Caenorhabditis elegans: one gene and its partners. The protein of the gene in region 3 interacts with the protein of the main gene of each other region in a pairwise test. Each region holds a gene or a part of one and is shown on either strand. Other genes may lie near its edges. The genes, in order: F54D10.7, arrd-6, cat-4 and gap-3.

Region 1 (3,408 bases), on a different chromosome or scaffold from region 3:
AAAGCTTCACTCCATTCGCGCTTGCCGTCACGTGTCAGTTGGAAGAGGATTTTCGCGTCGTTCGTCGGCAAATTTTCATGTACAGCAGCCTCTGGTTTTCGAGAAATTTCGTTCTTAATGGATGCTCTCCTTCATTTCATCACGATGTTTTTGAAAAGCCTCCATCATTGCTTTATTGAATTTTTCTTGATTTGCCTGATGTTCCTTTCGCTCGACTTCCAGTTTTCGAACGGCTTCCATGATTTCCTTGTTGAGTTTTGTCTGCTCTTCAATGACTTTCTCAAGCTGCGAATCGGATACAATGCCCGAGTTTTCTGGCTTCTGGAAAAGTAGAATTTATTAGGTGCTAACAAAATAAGTGTTACCTTTCCAAGAGCCAAACCAATATCTGCAGTCTCCATGCGAAGTTTTTGGAATTCAGACATCAAATTGTCCGAGCGGAAATTCGACATGGTCGCCGAGATTTGGAGAAATGAATTTAATTGGTAGCAGAAAAATTAATTGATTCACGTTTTTTTGAATAAAACATTTATCTTTCTTTTAATCAAATAATAATAATATCCACATTCAACAATAAAGTTCAATAAATTAACAACAACATTCACAATCTTCATCACACTTTTCATCAGTATGTTGCTTGATGACAGAACCGTCCTTAATTCCAGCTTCCTCAAGAGTTTGATTATACTGAAGCTCCTTGTCATTGAGCATGAGACGTTGGCGATGCAGTGCGAGGCCACCGTGCTTCAGGAGGGCCATTCCGACCGTGTAGATTGTGTCAAGGGAGTCCAGTTCCATCGGGATTCGGCTTCCGTGAAGGATAACATTGAACTTTATGTTTTTCGAGCCAATCTGAATAATTTTTTTGCTAAATTTACGGGCCAGGGGTGGGCGGCAATTGACAAATTTTTTTGTCGGCAAATTCGGCGAATCGGTTAATTGCCGGTTGGCCGATTTGCCGTTTCTGGCAAGTTTCCGATTTGCCGTTTGCCGAACATGAGATTAAGCCTATGCCTAAGATTAAGCCTAAGCCTCAAGTAAGGAACACAATCATCTCATAAAATTACCTTTCTCCGGATGGCTTGAGTATCCTCAGTCACTTTCTTGAAAAATTCCCTCTGTGCCTCTTTCATAGCATCGAGTCCAGTTTGGAGCAACTTGATCGCATCCAAAACATCATTCTCCTCCTCCTCATCTTCGTCTTCAGAGGTCTCATTATCCTCATCAAGCTTCTCAAACAGCTCCTCCTTGAAAATCTCCAAATCATCGCTGAACTCCTCCTTCTCCCGAGCAAACGCCTTCTTCATAGATCTGATTGCGTCGAGCATTTCTTTGTTGAAAGCGTCTTGGATCTTCTGACGCTTCGAACGTTCGATGGACATTTTCTGAATCGCTAGCATCAGTTTCTGGTTGACTTTATCCTGATTTTCACAAAACTTGTCAAATTTGGAAATGCTCAAGGACGTGATCGAACCGATGGTGGGACCCTGGAATTTGGAATAAATATTAATAAGGCCGATACAATTCAAATTCAAACTTTCTCAAGGAAATTATTGATTCCAGCAGTTTCAGATCGCAAATTTTCAAACGCCGACATCAAATCCGACGGTCCATCTTTATTGGTAGATTTTCCAACAGTTGGGGGCATTGCAGAGGTTATTTTCTGGAATTTAATTAAATTTTAAAATAACAAGAAAAACGGGAAAAGGACACACAAAAAAACAAATCAATGAGAGAATGAGCCTCTCCCCTGCATACCGATTGTAAAAGGGGATCGGAAATCGCCTCGTGGCAAGTGACCCACTTTATTGGTGCGCGGCGGGGAGATCAATTTTTTTTTGGCATTTTTGAAGATTATTAAAACAAAGAACCACAAAAAATGTAGTTGTCCTGCGCCTTACAGATGAAAAATGCAGAAACTCAATATATGAGCGGAGCAACTTGTCATCTAATATGTACGTGATCTTTCAACGATCAGTTACTAAATAAAAATTTCGAGTTTTCATTTCCTTTCCGGCCCAGACCATTTTGCAAAGTCCCGGTCATACTCTAAAGATGGCAAACTCAGATAGCATTTCTTTCTTTGCCGTCTACCGTCTCTGCCAGGGGTGTGCGGCAAATCTCAAAATTTGCCGAGCTCGGCAAATTCGGCAAATCTATTTTTCCAATATTTGCCGAGCACGGCAAATTCGGCAAATTCGGCAAATTTGCCGTGCTTAACAAACTCGGAAAAATTATATATTTTTTGATATTTTTTGGAGCACCAAAACTACTGAATTCTTAACACACCTCTGGTTTCTGAACAAGTTAGGTGTAGTGTGTCTGCTTAAACATCAAAATAACTCAATTTGTTGTCATTTTACTAAATTTTTGGCGAAAAAATCAACAGTTTTAGTCAACATTGTACTGTCAAATTTTTGACGTATGCGGCAAATTTCGAAATTTGCCGAGCTCGGCAAATTCGGCAAATCTACTTTTTTGAAATTTGCCGTGCTCGGCAAATTCGGCAAATTCGGCAAATTTGCCGCACACCCCAAAATCATCATTATTGGCAGCAGAGACTCTCTGCTGCCAATAATGATGATTTTAATTTGTTTTAAAATTGATTTTTTTTGTGCATCTTCAAACTGACGTATCTCGAAAAATACACATCTGGAAAACAAATGTTTAACTAACAAAATGATCAGAAATATTTTTTCTTTTTAATTCATTAATTTTTATCTCAATACACCAACTTTTTGTAGAGTTAAGTAGAGACATCAAAGCCATTTTACCAAAAATCACAAAAAATTTTGAGAACTCCTTTGCTGTACCCGTCATAACCCTACGCCCATCAAATTTGAAAAGATAAATTTTGTTGGATAAAAAGTAAAAAATATTTCTCCACGTTTTATTAGTTTTAAGATTTTTGATATTTTCATGTTCCGCCAAGTTACAGACCGTTTTTCGAAAAAATCCAATTTCGCTCATAAAACTCTTCATATCCAACGTAAAAACTTGAAATTTTGAAAAATGATCACTTTTTTGAGGTCTCTACAATGTCCTAAAAAATCTTTCAAAAAATCCTGCCCATCTCCAAAATCGTCCTTCGCTCCGAAAAATGAAATCGGACTTTTGCTTCTCGAGAAATGGGCGAAAAAATCAAATTGCGATTTTTGGGTCGAAAAAAATATTTTTAGAAAGCTGAGAACACGCTATTTACGAATTTCGTGTTCATTTTAATTGATTCCTTCTCTGAAATGACCTAAAAATTAAACAAAAAGAACATAATTTTAATTCTCACGTAAAATTTTTTGGCATGTTGCTCAGTGCTTCAATTGTTTTCTTGCGAATAAAAAATTGACGTGAGAATTAAAATTATGTTCTTTTTGTTAAATTTTTAGGTCATTTCAGAAAAGGAACCACCTA
Region 2 (7,805 bases), on a different chromosome or scaffold from region 3:
ATAGTTTTTTGCAAAACCAAAAAAAACCTAGATATACAAAATATGACATGTTTTCTTTTTAAGCTTCAATTGAGAATATGAAAAATTTTAGATTCTTAAAATTGTATATGTACATTAAAATCTCTGCACGACTCTGCAAATGACATTTCTAAAACCGGCTCACTCACTTGTGCTCGAACACCACACATGACATCATCTTGTTCTCGCCCAAAAGTCCCTTTTCGACAAACACCTCGACGTGCTGCACAAGACGGATAACGAGGCTTTGCGCCGTGGATTGCCTGTTCTCAATCTGGGCTCGGACACGAATGTTCTCGCCGCACACGTACGCCGTCCGCTCCAGAATTATTCGCAGTGCGAGCGCGCCCCGCTGGCAACACCAGCAACAGTTCACTTTTCGATCTTGAGCTGATAATGGGCTTAAATATTTCTCTTCCATACTGTCGATATGTGGACCGATTATCGTAAAATATTTGATTCCCTGAGGAGATGATGCATATGGAATGTCAATTATTACCTGGAATTTTAAAATTAACTGTACTGATTCTACTTCTGAAATATGTATGTAATACCTTGAAATAATATCGAATTGTACAATGCCTACTCTCCAATGAACACGGTAATGAAGATTGTGGGAGGTCAAAGTTGAAGGAAAACTGATGAACTCCGCGAGCAAGAATTGGGACACTGTCTGATTCATCGCTTTTATCTGGAAATTCTGGTGTACGTTAAAAGAAACGTCTAGAAAATCAATAATTATTTTGAATTCAGATTTAAATTAATTTTCATGAACAAGATAAATTTTACAGATTTTCACAAATTTGGTCACGTAATCTGAAACAACCTTTCAAGTACTTTTTCACTACTTCACTTTGAAAGGATACATCTGGGCTTATTTTTGAGATATCAATAAGTTATCAACTACAAAACGATAGAAGGAGGAAAAACAAATATTTAGTTAGTTGACAATTTTTGTATAGGTCGAACGACAACTGGCATATGTATAGGCTGCCAAAGTTGAAGTGTCCATTATCACTCACCTTTCCCCCATAGCAACTGTTTCTCATCCAGCACATATTGATCGTCTTTCAACGTCCTCCGTTCACCAGACTTGACCACTTTCAACGTGGCATGCACTTTGCCACGTAGCAACACCCGAATACCACGTATTTTGATGTTCTCCGTGTTCTCCAACAGCACACTTCCACTGATTGTCTCGCCGGCGTAGTAGACGTCCTGAAATACATACATACATACGTTGTGTGGGGAGGCAATATTTTTGTTGTTGTTTGTGTTTTCCAGCTGTTTGGACTTTTTCTCGCGCGACAAACCTTATTGAGCCTAATGTCGAAACTGGATATGTAGTCCATGCCGGATTTCTGCTCCTCAACCTGGAAGTATTTTTATTAAAAATTAGAAAATTAACACTTTTTGGGCACAAACCAAAAATAATTTCATTCAGGAAAAAAGTAACTCGCACTAGGAATTAAGCATGGTTCAGGTATGTTCAAAATATTCAATGTTTTCGTTTTAGGTTAAAACAGGTTTTTTTGTTAGGATTTCGATGGTAAGCACAGTTTCAGGGCCTGGCGCCTGCCTGAAACCTGCCACTCTCGCGGTTGAGACGCAAGGCAGGCGTAGGTCCCCTTAAGGCCAGACAGGCAGGTAGGTTTCGGTGCCTACATTGAAGCCTCAGGAAAATGAAATAATTTGAATTTGAATTTTCAACGATAATTAATTATATTTATCAGGTCATATGAAAAAAATGTGTTTTGACAATTTGTTTTTGAAAAAAAACTGGAAATTGTGAGAAAAAAAAAGAAGATTAATGGTATTATGGCACGCATAAGATCTAGAAATTTCTTCAGAGAAGACGTAAAAAGTGAAGAATAAGAAGAAGAAAAGGTTTTCTGTGGTGCACGGAGCATCGTAAAGTCGAATCGGAAATGGAAATGAGAGTCACGGTATCTGGTGCTGAGTACTCTCTAATCGGAGAAGAAGAGCCATAAAAAACTTTGAGCTTCTTCTCCTTTCTCTACCTTTCTCTCTCTCTCTCTGTCCTAGTTTGCTAGAAGAATAAGAATTGTTCTTCTGATGCCTCATCTCTCTTTCTCCTCTAATCTTCTGGAATTGTATCTGTCGGAGATGTGGACGAATGGGAGGAAAAAAAAGGAAAAAGAAAGAAGAACTAAACAAAAAGATAGAGATATAATCCCACATTACATACTTAGCCGCGGGAAAAAATATTTTAAAAAATATTTAGAATCTGTTCATGTCCCATCATTGTGACTGGCACTTTAGATGTTTCTACACATTTCAAAAAATAGGAAACTTGGACAAAGGTTACCAACAAAAATTCTGTAATTATTAAATTATTTTTAGGAATATTCCTGAGAAAATACAATAACTTGAAGATTAATTTATTATCAAAATTTTGGAAGCCAGCTTCTGAAACAAATAAGGGTCTCTAAGATGTCGGCCGCAGAATTATGGCAATATTCTTGTTGCTTTGCTCTTGGTTTTTAAATTATACTCATTTAAATAATTTGCAAAACTTCAATAAAAATTGGCCCCTGTAAGCAGTAAGCATTCCGCAAAAAATCATATTTTGGATTTTTGATAATCTTTTTTTGCATAACTCACTATAAAATTCTGTCAAAACACTACAAAATCAGAAAAAAATGTCCTCGTGCTCAGTCACAGCCTACCTACGAACAATATTCCCTTCATCAAATATCCAAATATCACAAGACAGGCTGAATCAGAAACTCCAATTTTTCTCAAGAGAAATCAAAAATTCACAAAACGAATTTTAATAAATTTCCGAGACGCTTTCCCAGAGAAGGGAGAAATTATTATCAGGTGACAAAAAGTGAAGGTTTACCTTCAGGATTGTTATGGAATTGAGATTTGATTTTAGACATGTTTTAAATGGTATAAATAAATATTTCTTAACATTTTCCAGTTCACCAAAAATATGCTGATTTTGGAACGAACCTGCTGTATTCGAATCCTGAGAAAAAATGCACTGAAGTTATTTCAGACTGAATTTTCAGGAGGTAGAGCTTAAATACTTGTGTTAAACCATTGAATACAAAAATTTCCAAATAAGACAGACTTCGTTCTGAAGTCCCAATTTCCTACTTGATTGAAAACGATAGAAAACTTGGAAAAAAGTGCATCTTTGTTTATGGTGACGTGAATTATAGATGCGCGCCGATAGGAAATTGCAATGCTCCGAAAAAAAGAGCAACGCGAAAAAAATAAATTGAAGATTCTGTAATTGCGGGCAGTGAGGGTGGATGCAGAATAGAAGGTCAATAGAATGATAAATAGGGAGAGGAAAAATTATTGGAAAATTAAAGAAAAATTGAATTGTATTTGAGTAGCAGCTATACAGTAACTCCTAGAACTTTCTGGTTTTTTTGGGCTGTTCAAAACTGAAAACTGAAACTCATGAGGTTCACCAAAAGGCGAAATGGTAACTCTTGGAATTTGAATCCAAATTTCTTCGGTCCAATGCTCATTTACCAAAAAAAGTGTCAGGGAAAAAAACGGAAATAGCTAGGTCAAGATATATAGAGACAGAGCGGATATACACGTACATATGAATGAGGAACGAAAAAGCAATAGAATGAGATGGAAAAGAAGAAGAAGGCGTAAAGAAGAGAAAGCAACACAATATCTCTTGTTGGGTGTTTGAGAGCCCCCTCTCCGCCTTTTTGCACACTATTTCCGGCAATTAATGAAGCAGGTAAAAAGGGCAGAAGGCGTTGGAGAGCCTGGGCAAAATGTGTGAAATGAAGTCGAAACTTTTTGGAGCAGCAGCACAGCTCTCGACGACAGCTTCTTGTGTAACATGATACTGGAGAACGACTACTTTGAGTGGATCGAGAGAGAAGGTTGACAAAAGTGGAAGAAAAGGGTTTTTGGGATAAAGGAGATTAGCTGGATATATGGGTAGAGATCTATCGGATTATTCTATAGTGATTACATGATACTATCAAATGGCGGGTATTTACGGGTAAAATCACTTGTTTTCAGAAATTGCAGGGACTTGATTCATTGTGTAACAAAACTATAATATTTGGAATCATTTTAAAAATTTCTTTTTTTTTTAGAATTACGAGTTTCAACGGATTCAAAGGTGTTGAGGCACCGGTCGGCTTCTGCTACTTGCCTGGTCAGAAAAGAAAAATGGGGATTGAAGCAGGGGTGGGCGGCAATAGACGTTTGGCAAACTTTTTTGTCGACAAATTTGGCAGTTCGACAATTTGCCCGTTTGCTTTGCTGGAAATGTTCAATTCCGGCAATTGGCCGATTTGCCGATTTGCGAAAAAAAAATCGTTTACCTGGTTTGAATATCGGTCTCAAGGACCTTTGTGAACTTCTACACAAAAAGTTTAAAGTTTCACGGTTTACAATCTGGAAACTAATACCAATGAGTTTATCAATTTGCAAGCATCAAGTCCGCCGAAAATATTTTAGTATTTTCCTGGCAATTATTTTGTTTCTGGGATTCTGTAACTGTACTATTTTAAAAATTTTCTTCTGGGATTTCTCTTTTATTTTGAAGGGAAATCTTGGGTCTTCTAAGAAAATGTGCGCTAGTATTTATGTTGCTATTGGATTTTGCGATTTCGGAAGTCTTTCCGATTTTACAAGAAATTTTCAAAAATGCAACAAAATCGCAACGTCGGTGCTCAAAACTGGAAACATCAAATTTTCCGGATGCATACCAGACTCCTCCTCCCATTCTCTCTCTCTCTCTCTCTCGTTTTTGCGATAGAAAATGTAATAAGCAAAGAGAGCTAAATCCATGGCAACGCGATAAATCTCATGAGACATGTCCCGGTCAGGATGAGATGGAAAACCAGTCGACAAAAAAATAGAAGAATTGAAAGAGAGAAAGATAGAGTCGAATACAATTTGTAAAGACCCGAAGAGCATGTATATGTGTGTGACGAAAAATAAGATGAAGACGAAGAATGAATGAATTTTATAATGAACACAGTAAACATATAGTGATTACTCATTGTCAATGAGCACAGTGGAAGAAAAAATGTTTTTTTGGAAGATGGGATGGAACAAGTGATTGTTAGAAAATATTATTTTATTCCATAGTTTTCAAAAATTAAGAAAAAACCGACGTAAGCCCTTTTTGGGGGAAAGTTTAAAAATTCGAACTAAATTCGAAACTTTCGAACATTCGAACTTTTTTTTTATTTTGAAAATTGTTATTCTGTTCTAAATTACTTAAATGAAGATCAACTCTTTGAGTAGATTTCCCTTAATTTTCTCTGAAGAAAGCCAATCAAAATCAGTCAAAATTTATCAAAATTTGTTCCAAAACTTGAAAAAAATTAGGCGATTTTTTCAATTAATTAACTAAGTTTGAACTGGATTAGAATTATTGTAAAAGTGTAAAAGTTCAAAAGAAAAAATTCCATACAGTATCGAATCTAAAAATATTTTAGAAAGTTGAAATTTGAATGGCTTTTGCTCCAAAGCTTTAAAAAATTATATAATAGTGATTTATCAGAATCTTCTATTTGTGTGCAATTTGAGACTAATTAATTTTCTCAAATTTCAGACAATTCCAAAAATTGATTTTAAAACATTTGAGGAAGTCTTTCGTAGTTAACTATAGTTGATTATCTGCTTTTCAAATTAAACCAATAGCAACTAGGATATGAGCACTCAAAAACGAAAAGTGAGGGTACAAGACAAATCGGAAAAATACAGTGAACTAAAAATTTGATTTTTCAAGTATTAGAAACCGGATTTGTTTTGCAGTTTTGCGAATAAAATTGAGTTCACATAGTGTGAAATAAAACGAAAATTTTCACAGACAAAATATGCACGAGAATGAATGAAAAATTGGTTGGAACGAGAAACAGGAAAGAATGCCCTTTTTGCTCATTTGATGAACGTTCCTCTTGGGATCTGACCTGGAAATAGTGCTTCTCGAGTAGCGTACTGATCATTGTTTCCTTCTTTTCTTCAGCCATATCCTCCTCCTGATTTCCTTCACGTGTGTGCCTCTATTTCCAGCTTGCTCTCACCCGGCTTTTTTCTAATCAGATTGAGTACTTCTTGGGACGAATAGGGTGAAAAGGAGTGTGTGGAGGAGCAACAAAAAAAGAGACTATGTAGTGCAAACAGCACTCTTCGAGATTTATGTCGACTCGGACTCGACCCCATGGTCCCAGTGGGAAATTGAGCAAAAAGCGCGGCAATGAGGAGCAATGGGCACACGCGTGGAGGATAGGCACGAGGAGTTGAAAAGCAGAAAAGAAGGAAGAAGTATCATCAAAAAATGGAAGTGTTTTGGCATGATTTTATGACGTATGTAGATGCAGCCATGGTAATCGATATAACTTCACAAATTACCAAAACTCAAGGAGAGACATTTTGAACTTAAAAAAAAGAAGAAAAGAAGGAAACAATGATGATGATCAAAATCTAGAGCTGAAGTTTCGAGAAATTTGTAGTTTAAAATAATTTCAAAACTACTCAAATTTACGAATCGACTCAAATAGCATAGCCGCCGAATTTCAATAAGCCCTCAACCTATATATGCCCTAGACAGGTGATATGTTAAACCGATAAGGTTGGTGATTTGTATGTATGTATTTCTGGCATTTGGCACTCTTTGCATACTAGATTTGTGGACTGACATAGAACTTCTGTCATCAACAACCCACGCACATTTGAGAATTGGAAAATTTTTGATTGAAATTTGAAGTTTGACAGAACCAGCAGGGCTTACAAGAAAATAAAAAATTAAAGGTATTATAATATTTGAAAAATGGAAAAATTGATTTTTAACAACTGTTATTTATGTTTGATACTATAAGGTTAATTGCAAAAAAATGCAAAAAAGTATAAAAGTGAAGAAAAAAATTACAAAAACCTATTGCCCGAAAAAAAATGTGGTCGAAAAAATTGAGGGCACTAAAAATCACAAGCAAGAATATCAAATAAAATTTTTTCACATGTAAAAAATTATGCTCTTGCGATTTTAATTATTTATGTTTATGAAATAATCGAAGAAATTACAATCTATCATATTATAATTCTATAAATTGTATCTAGTTTGTTGAACAAAGTTTTGGCAAATTACCAAAATTTGGAAACTGTGGTTTTTCAGAAATTTAAAAAATGTCGCATGGATAAACCTCTAAAATGTTTGACTACACATGCATTTTAAAAAAACAACACAGTTAGTGTCTAGAATAAATATCAAAAGTTGTTCTCTTATTTTTTAAAAACCTCTAGTCAGAAAACACATCCACCCACGCCATTAGGGAAAAAAAAGCTTCTTGATGAAATGCCATACACTTACTCACTCGTTCCAACTTGACAAGTTCGGAATGTGTAAATAAGGTTTATCAAACTCCTAGTCTTATAGCTTTTTGAAACCAGTTTATGTGACAATTATATAAATGTACAATTTGAGCTGAAATATTTAAAAAGCCAAGAAGTCAATTTGCTAAAAAGCTATATATGTATAAGAAAATCAAAGTCGGCAACACCAAAAGATCTCAAGATTTGGTTGACAGATTCTTGGTTATCAAGGAAATTGGAATTGAGAAACGAGAGAGGGACTGAGGAAGAGAAAGTCAGGTGCACAGAGAGTCCAAAAGTGGTCAGGAAATTAGAAGAGGGTAGAGCTCGGGTTGAAAATAAAAGAAAATGAATAGAAAAAGCAGAATGTGAGGACAAGAAATTGATGAAGAAGGTTGATGAGGGTGAAGAAAAAAAGAAACTGGGAGAGAAAAGCACAATGAGCCGAGAAGAAA
Region 3 (4,028 bases):
GAGTGATTCCATCGCCAGAATTTCAACAAATTTGTCGCCATATGCTGAAATTCCACAATGGACTGGTTGGCATCATGCCAAGAGATCAGATCGAGGCGTTGTTCCGTCAAGTACACGAAAACTTTAAAGCCAACTTACGAGAACACGTCACTGGAATGGGTATCACACCTCATGACCCTTTAAAATACGGGTAAGAATAAATTACTGAAATTTCAACTATAATGTACTATTTTCAGATATGTCACAAAAGATTACATGTTTTATCAACAAAATGTGAAAAACATGGAAAGTTGCCGTAATTTGGAGCTCGAGTCGCTTAATGACATTATGTTTGAATAGGACTTTTCTTTGTAAAATATTTATTTAATTTTCAATCTGGTTTATTTCTTGTGTATGATTGTGATTGTTTGACTAATTACGGTGGCTTTTATTTCACGCTTCTTCTGTAAACTTCCCCAATTCACTGGTCCTTCATTCCTAATTTTTTAGTTTGTGCTTCTGGGCTAGCTTTATCACTTTCATTTCCCAGTTAATTGTTTTTGTTTTTATTTATCTGGTATTTAGTAATTTATTGCATGTACAATAAAAGCATATTACAGTATCCAGGCAATGAACATGTTGTATGAATTTAAAAAGCTGAAGCATAAGATGTTAGTAGATTCACATGGAAAGTTATGAAAAGTTAGTAACAGTTAAAACCCAAAAAAACAAGTAAAAAAGGAAATGACTAGAATTTTTAGCGTTTGTTGATAAGATTAAGGAATTCTTCGCGAGTCTTTGGATCGTCACGGAATACTCCCAACATGCAGGATGTTGTGGTGGAAGCATTGATCTTTTGAACTCCTCTCATTACCATACACATGTGACTAGCTTCAATAACAACTGCAACTCCGGATGGTTGTACAGCTTGAACCATTGCGGTGGCAATTTGCTTTGTAAGACGTTCTTGGACTGAAATATTTGAACGTTTAGGTTAGGTTCCAATCAAAAATGTAATTTCTCAATTTACCTTGAAGTCTTCTGCTGAACATCTCGACTATTCTTGCCAACTTGGACAGACCAAGAACCTTCTTGTTTGGAATGTATCCAATATGAACTTTTCCCATAAATGGAACTAAATGATGCTCACAAAGGGAGAACATTTCAATATCTTTCACAATAACCATCTCATCGTGATCCTCGTCGAATACTGCCTCGTTGAGGAGCTCTGAAAAATGAAACTTTGAGCTTTAACGTTGTATTGCTATAACTGACCATCAAGTTGATCATCGTATCCCTTTGTGAATGCCATCATTGCTTTGGCAGCACGTTCTGGAGTTTTCAGAAGTCCCTGACGATTGATGTCTTCTCCTGAATTCCCAAAATCAGTCAACGTGGGAAAATGTATTTTGTTTTCATTTTTTCCCTTATAATCAACGGACACAACCTATTTTTTTCTGATTTATGTTATAGATATATCAATTGAAATCACAAGTTCCTGATGATGTGCTAGGGTACCTTGATTGCGTGATGTAATAGATTACAATTTGTCATGAGTCTTTAAATTAAAACAATTTTCGATCTTGATTTTTGATTTGAGAGTGGAATATATTGAACTGAACTTCCTTCCAGACAATAACAACTATCAGTTATAGATCATCGACTTTCAAAACATCTTGGTCAAATTTATATTTGGGAAAATATTTATCAATATTCTTTGAGTCACTGATAATGAATAAATGCTAAAACATTATAATCTCTAGAATGAATCAAAAAGTGTGTTGAAATGTTTATCGAAACCAAAGTTTTCCTAATTCTGCTGACGTAAACAGTTGACAGTACGTTTTCAGAACTCTATAATCTATTCTTAAACAGCTTATTTTAAATTTGTTGTTGATCGACTAATACTTTCCGAACCAAAGAATCACATGAACTCACCGACATGTTGAATGATGCTCTGATAGGCATTGCACATTGATTTCAAATGATCTTCCTTTGGAATCGTTCCGTTTCTTTTCTTCATCTCAACTTTATCGTCTTCGGATCCAACACTTGCGGCGTCAGATGACAAAAATCCGCTTTCGTTCTCAATTCTGGACATTTTGATATTATGATGTTGATAGAGTGGGTAAAGCCTGAAAACATTGATTGAGTAAGTGAGTGAAATAAGGTGATATTGAAAATGAGCCGTGGGTAAATCTTAAGAAAGCTGAGAAAGCGTAGGCGACAAAAAGAAAGGATAGACATTCAAATAATTGCCGGATGAAACCGAATATGTGCAATGTCCAAGCAAGAAAGAAGAAATTACGAAAAAAAAAGGTACAACACGTCATGTATTATGAAAGGTATTCTGGGAAAAAATAGGCAAAATGAAGGGACAGAAGGAAATCAATCTAGTCGAATGGATAGACTTCATCATCTTTTCCCACTTATGTGAAAAAATGAGAAAAAAAGAATAAGAAAATAGCAAAAAATCGAAAAAGAAACGGAAGACGTCGTCCCATACATCAATCGTTTTCCGCCATTCCTTCATGGCAGCACTTCTAGGTATTCAGGAAAATGTGGAGGAAGAATAATTTATTTATGCAAACAAAAGGAACATGTAAAAAGAAAATGAAACCGATTGATTAGGTGGATAGGCGCAACAAGAAAAGAAAAAGTGGACTGGTCTGAGGAGATACAGAGAGAAGGATCGTAAATCAGCGAGGAATGATATAGACCTTCACTCACGTGGACTTCTAGTTCACTATCAGTTTTGTTGCCGAAACTTTGGCAGATTAATATCTACAAGTTACTCTTTCATGCACTACAATCGAAAAAATTGAGAAACTTTATATTCAAAACGAAATTTGGAATTTATCAAACTTCACATATATTTCTCACGAAATTCATCAAATGGTCCTCCTGGGAAGTTATTTAAAAACAATAATAGGATCACATGTGGTAGAATATACTCCTCCTATTTTTAAAACTCATCACACCTAATAATATTACTCATCGAAACAACCAATCTGAAAAATAAACTAGATTCTGGCAAAAAAATTACTAATGAGTTTAGTACAACACAGAAACCGTGTTAAACTCTCATATATACTGCCAACAGCCACAAAAATAAAATACAATTTCTAATATTTCACCATGTCAAAAAAGTAGGACCTCAAATTTGGGAACGATTTCATTCAACAGTTTCGGTTTTCAAAAATTGTAAAATTTTAACTACTTTCCTTTCTAAGTCATCATCAGGTGGAAAAATGAGAAAGTAAAGAAAGAAAATGAAAAGAATTGAGGGGTCTAAAGAAGTACACTCACTTTCTTCTATTCTTCTACTTAACTACCTACATAAGAATTTCGTTGAAACAGTTAAAGCTAGTAGAAAGATCAAACCCACGCCTTTTTTTTCCCGGCAGACTCGATGTGTTTTGATGACATTCACACGAAATGACGAGAACGGTTCCAAAATCAGCTGAAGATGAGGGAAGAGGCGTTTCGAACTTGTAAATGTTTTCCTAGTTTTCTAGTTCTTTTTCATCAGATATCGTTTCTTATATTTGCGATTTCTGGGCTGATTGGGTACAAGTTGGGAGGAGGTGATGACGAATGAAAACAAGAAAACTTGAAATACTATTTTGTTATGATCAGGATTTTTTGGGTTATTCGAAGTCTCTCATAACTTTTGGTTCTTCAGAGTTAGAGATTGAGAATCAAAAAGAACTATTTGAAAAAACTGAGCTATTGTCAATATTCTTGAAAAGTAAAAAATTAAAATCGAAAGTTGTTACTGAAAAGTACTGCCAAATAATACCGTAACACTCGTAGAGGAAGTTCCCCGCAATTTATTAGGTTGAACTATAAATAAGATAAGAGCATAAGCAAAATGCCGCCGCTAATGATGTACTACCAATTGAAGCCGCAATTTATATGGAGTTTATAATCATTGCATGATAAATTGGTTCAGGAACTTTGAATTGTCACCTTTGAGATAAGATCGTGCACAAAAGGAGTTTGCGGGATTAATTAAGTGACGGCGATTACGTCAGAAACATAGAGAA
Region 4 (4,599 bases), on a different chromosome or scaffold from region 3:
CGTAGAAGTACGGTAGATCCGACAAATCGGCCACCTCTGTGATCTGTAAAAGCACGGAATCTGAGAATTTCACGCGGTGTTGTAGAGTGTCTCTTGATCTACGCTGATCTACAAAAAAAAGCGGCAGAGCTCTCAACTGATTTCGCATGGTTAAGAGCGTGCTGAAGAAGCCACATTTTTTTGGAAAAAAAATTCCCGCATTTTTTGTAGATCAAACCGTAATGGGACAATCTGACACCACGTGAATTATCGAATTTTCCAAAAATTTGGCAAATTATTGATTTTCTTGAATAGTGTTAATTTATTGATTTTTCTGCCCCCGAAAATCGAGATTTATCGATTTTCTCAAATAGTGTTAATAAATTGGAGAAATCCAGCTTGGACCAAAAAAAAAAAATTTTTTTGTTTTTTTTTTCAGCAGGCAGGCATTAGGTAGGCAATTTATAAATGGGTCTCGCCGCGATTTTGTACCAAAATAAGTGTATTTGGTACGCCAAAGCCTACATTAGATATTACGGGAACACAAAATTCTGAAAATGCGTATTGCACAACATATTTGACGCGCAAAACATAAAAATATCTCTTAGCGAAAACTACAGTAACCCTTTAATTGACTACTGTAGCGCTTGTGTCAATTTACGGAAATCATTTATTAATCAATAAAATTAAATTTTAAAAGAAAACTCAAAAATGACATTTCGTAATTTTTTTTTGCCATTTTTGTGTTTTCTTTTAAAATTTAATTTTATTGATTAATAAATGACTTCCGTAAATCGATACAAGCGCTACAGTAGTCAATTAAAGGGTTACTGTAGTTTTCGCTACGAGATATTTTTATGTTTTGCGCGTCAAATATGTTGTGCAATACGCATTCTCAGAATTTTGTGTTCCCGTAATATTAGCACAATTTCGCCTTTTTTAATTAATTTTTTAAATTTTTTGTAGAAAATTGTGAAAAAAAACGTAACATTTTTTTGCTTAAAAATTGTAATTTTTCATCAGTTTTTTCCTAGAATTTTCAAATTTTCAGTTAGAAATTTCCAGTCTTTCCTACTTTTCCCTACCAAAGGTTCCAAATGTGATCTTAAAATAATTCCAACGGAACCGCTCGTCTCATTTCGTCCTAACATCCATCCGGTCTCGTCGGTCTCACAAACTGACAGAATATCACCGATTTCCGAGTTCATTTCGTCGATTTCGCGTTGTTCGAATCGTCTAACGCATAGGTACTTGGTTTCTTGGATTTCCTGGAAACAAATTTTATGGTATATTAAAATTCCGGCATGCACGGGGTGCCAGCGACTGTCCCATTACGTTTTGATCTACAAAAAATGCGGGAATTTTTTGCAAAATCAGTTGAAAACTCTGCCGCATTTTTTGTAGATCTAAGTAGATCAAACCGAAATGAGACCACGTGGACATGTTTGCGCGTTAAATTTGATCTACTCGATTACGGACTCAATACACCATATTTTACGCGCAAAAACTACTACTATTACAGATAATTCTACAAAACTTTATATTCGTGTATATCGATATTCTGACCAATTCGTCATATTTGACGCACAAATTATAAATTATTACGGGAAGACTAAATTCTGAGAATGCGTATTACACAACATATTTGACGCGCAAAATATCTCGTAGCGAAAACTACAGTAACCCTTTAAATGATTACTGTAGCGCTCTTGCGTCGATTTACGGAAATCATTTATTAATCTATAAAATTAAATTTTAAAAGAAAACACAAAAATGGCAAAAAATAACGAAAAAACCAATGAGAATTGTATTTTTTTGCCATTTTTGAGATTTCTTTTAAAATTTAATTTTATTGATTAATAATTGACTTCCGTAAATCGACACAAGCGCTACAGTAGTCAATTAAAGGGTTACTGTAGTTTTCGCTACGAGATATTTTGCGCGTCAAATATGTTGTGTGATACACATTCTCAGAATTTTGTGTTTTCGTAAGACATGGAGTAATTTAATTGTTTTTTTAAATTAAATTTGCGCGTTAAATTTGATCTACTCGATTACAGACTCAAGACACTCTATTTTACGCGCAATATTATAAATTTCTTTTTTTTCTCTGAAAAATCACTTTAAAATCCAACAAATTATCCAATAATGCAAAAATTTGCGCGTCAAATATGGTGTATCACACGTGGTGTCAGAGTGTCTTATTTTGGCTTGAATAAAGTTGATCTACAAAAAATGCGGCAGAGTTCTCAACTGATTTGGCATGTTTTTGGGCGAAAAATTCCCGCATTTTTTGTAGATCAAACCGTAATGGGGCAAAAAAATACCCCATTAATCGGCATAATTCCTCCTTTTCGAACTGGAATCACAGCCAGCTGATAGGCATCTACAATATCTCGAAGGGTCTCGAAACGCTTTCCTTCGAAAAAGTAGTGAGGTGGGGTGAGTTGGCGGATGCTGAAAAAAATTTGAATTTTAAATTTTTATGTTTAAAAACCAACGGTAAATGTTTCGGATAGCCGTCTTGATCCAATATCGACAGATAAAATCTCGTCTGGCCAGTTTGCCGAACCAAAAACGCGCCGGGAGATGTGCCCTGGAATGTTTTGCCGGTTTTTTGCCATTTTTTGCCATTTTTTTTGTAATTTTTCGCAAAAGAAACCTGAAGCAAATGATTGGCATCGTGTTCGTTTAATTCCCCATGGTACCACACATCGTTTGGCGATATATCAGGCGGTGTTGGGTTCGTGTGAGTCTGCGAAAAAACAATTCCTTTTTTTTAACTTAGGATTTTTTAGAATATTTTAAACTGTAAATATAATTGATTTTCGATGAAAATAAATAATATAAATGGTATTTTTCTAATTTTTTCTAATTTTTCCTTTTTTTCCTCGATTTTCACTTGTTTCGCCCTCACTTTTAGAAACAATGGCCCTTCCGTGCTGCTGTTAGGTGTAGTATTCTCGCTTGAGTGCATAACTTTTCATTTGCACCTGAAAAATGCCAAAAAATTATTGATTTTCATCAAAAAACAGGAAAACAAATTCAAAAAAATGCGAAAAATCGGACGGGTACGCAATTTTGCGTGACGGTGTACGTACTGGGGAAATGGAGGGAAATTTGAATTTTAATTAATTTTCGATGATTTTCGATGAAAAAACCTGATTTTCAGGTAGAAAATTAGAGTTTTAAACCAAAATTTTGTTTGGAAATTCGAAAATTTGCGCTGGAAGCTAAAAAAAAACAATATTTAATTGTCTTGGCCTGATTTTGGAATGTGAATTCCATAGATATCAACTCCGCAAATGTTTTTTTTTTCTTATTTTTATCGTTTTCAGCTAATTAGAAAACTTTTTTTTTAATTTTAGGTGAAAAAATGCAAAGTTTCATCGAAAAGTACTAGAAAATGTTTAAAAAATACAAAATCCGGAGGAGGCAGTGGAAAGTGAACTCCGTAGATTTCAACTCCGTGGGATTAATCCCAGTTTTGCTAATTTTCAGTCTATTTTTTAAATTTTTAATTTGAAAACAAAACGTTTTTTTTAATTCCTTTTTAAAAAACCCATCGAAATGGAAAAAAAACCCGGGGAAGGCAGTGGAATTTGAATTTGGTAGATTTCAACTCCGTGGAATCAAGCTTGAACAATTTCAATAAAAATTCAAAGTTTCCTCAAAAAAAAAGGTGGTAAACGGTAGGAAATAGGTTGTGAATAAAGTGATAAAAGTTGAAGAAAAGAAATCGAAAGAGAAGGGGGGAGAAAAGGACGCATATTATTACACCCACGCAGTCTTCTTCTTCTTCTTTCTCACAATATACACACACACACACAGACACCAGATCACTTTTCTGTGTGTGTGTATATGTGTCTGCGTCTCTACCACGAATCACTGTCTCTCTCTCGGTTTTCTGTGTCTCTTGTACAGCGAGAGAGAGAGCACCGGAAGTTCGGATGATGGACCATTTGTGAAAGTGGGAAATGGAGGACGGAGAACACGGAAAGTTTTGGAATTTATTCAAATATTTTGGGTAATACCTAAAAATAAAGAATTTTCGTGAAAAAAATTGTCGTTGTGATAACAGATAACACAGTGATAACAAGACATGTGATTAAAAATTATGTTTTTTTTTTGAAAATTTTATTTTTTACAGCTGGAAAAGTTTAAACGTGTACACGTGGTGTCAGAGTGTCTCTTATTTCGGTTTGATCTACGTTGATCTACAAAAAATGCGGGAGAAGAGACGCATAGTTTTCAACTGATTTTGCATGGTTAAGAACGTGCTGACGTCACATTTTTTTGGGCGAAAAATTCCCGCATTTTTTGTAGATCAAACCGTATTGGGACAGCCCCTGGCACTACTTGCGTGTGGAGACAGCGCCAAAACACCACATGGTGTATTGGCTGCGCCTACTTTTTCAATGAAATTTTACATTTTTAGAGCAGTTTTGCCGTAAAATTCAGCTGTTTTTTATTGTTTGAAGAAAAAAAGGAAAATTAATGGGACAAGTACCAGCTCCTGCTCCTCCGGGCTTCTTCTTTTTTTCTTTTTTTTTGCCAATTATTATTACTCGGAGGAAGTTTTTTTTTTTTTTTTTGTTGCAATATTTTTTTTTCTAAAAG

Evidence for each region.
Region 1: the proteins of cat-4 (region 3) and F54D10.7 interact in a two-hybrid assay, tested with the Caenorhabditis elegans proteins (one large-scale study listed by BioGRID).
Region 2: the proteins of cat-4 (region 3) and arrd-6 interact in a two-hybrid assay, tested with the Caenorhabditis elegans proteins (one large-scale study listed by BioGRID).
Region 4: the proteins of cat-4 (region 3) and gap-3 interact in a two-hybrid assay, tested with the Caenorhabditis elegans proteins (one large-scale study listed by BioGRID).

The regions. Positions count from the first base shown.
Region 1 is NC_003280.10:3,819,634-3,823,041, forward strand, and holds F54D10.7 (Ubiquitin-like domain-containing protein), read right to left. Parts: upstream 1,664-3,408; 5' UTR 1,649-1,663; coding exon 1,538-1,648; intron 1,488-1,537; coding exon 1,068-1,487; intron 853-1,067; coding exon 589-852; 3' UTR 516-588; downstream 1-515.
Region 2 is NC_003280.10:11,141,103-11,148,907, reverse strand, and holds the start of arrd-6 (Arrestin C-terminal-like domain-containing protein), read right to left. Parts: upstream 6,012-7,805; coding exon 5,952-6,011; intron 3,066-5,951; exon of another isoform or gene 2,998-3,065; intron 1,715-2,997; exon of another isoform or gene 1,490-1,714; intron 1,392-1,489; coding exon 1,332-1,391; intron 1,237-1,331; coding exon 1,041-1,236; intron 710-1,040; coding exon 573-709; intron 518-572; coding exon 168-517; intron 1-167.
Region 3 is NC_003283.11:10,562,966-10,566,993, reverse strand, and holds cat-4 (GTP cyclohydrolase 1), read right to left. Parts: upstream 2,115-4,028; 5' UTR 2,081-2,114; coding exon 1,918-2,080; intron 1,351-1,917; coding exon 1,255-1,350; intron 1,208-1,254; coding exon 1,010-1,207; intron 952-1,009; coding exon 737-951; 3' UTR 555-736; downstream 1-554. Other genes in the region: vps-54 (Vacuolar protein sorting-associated protein 54), read left to right, coding at 1-190, 237-339. UniProt on the Caenorhabditis elegans protein: Involved in serotonin and dopamine biosynthesis that affects movement, mating behavior, foraging behavior, and cell migration.
Region 4 is NC_003279.8:2,007,524-2,012,122, forward strand, and holds the start of gap-3 (SH2 domain-containing protein), read right to left. Parts: upstream 3,003-4,599; 5' UTR 2,957-3,002; coding exon 2,897-2,956; intron 2,735-2,896; coding exon 2,642-2,734; intron 2,576-2,641; coding exon 2,481-2,575; intron 2,437-2,480; coding exon 2,307-2,436; intron 1,248-2,306; coding exon 1,065-1,247; intron 44-1,064; coding exon 1-43.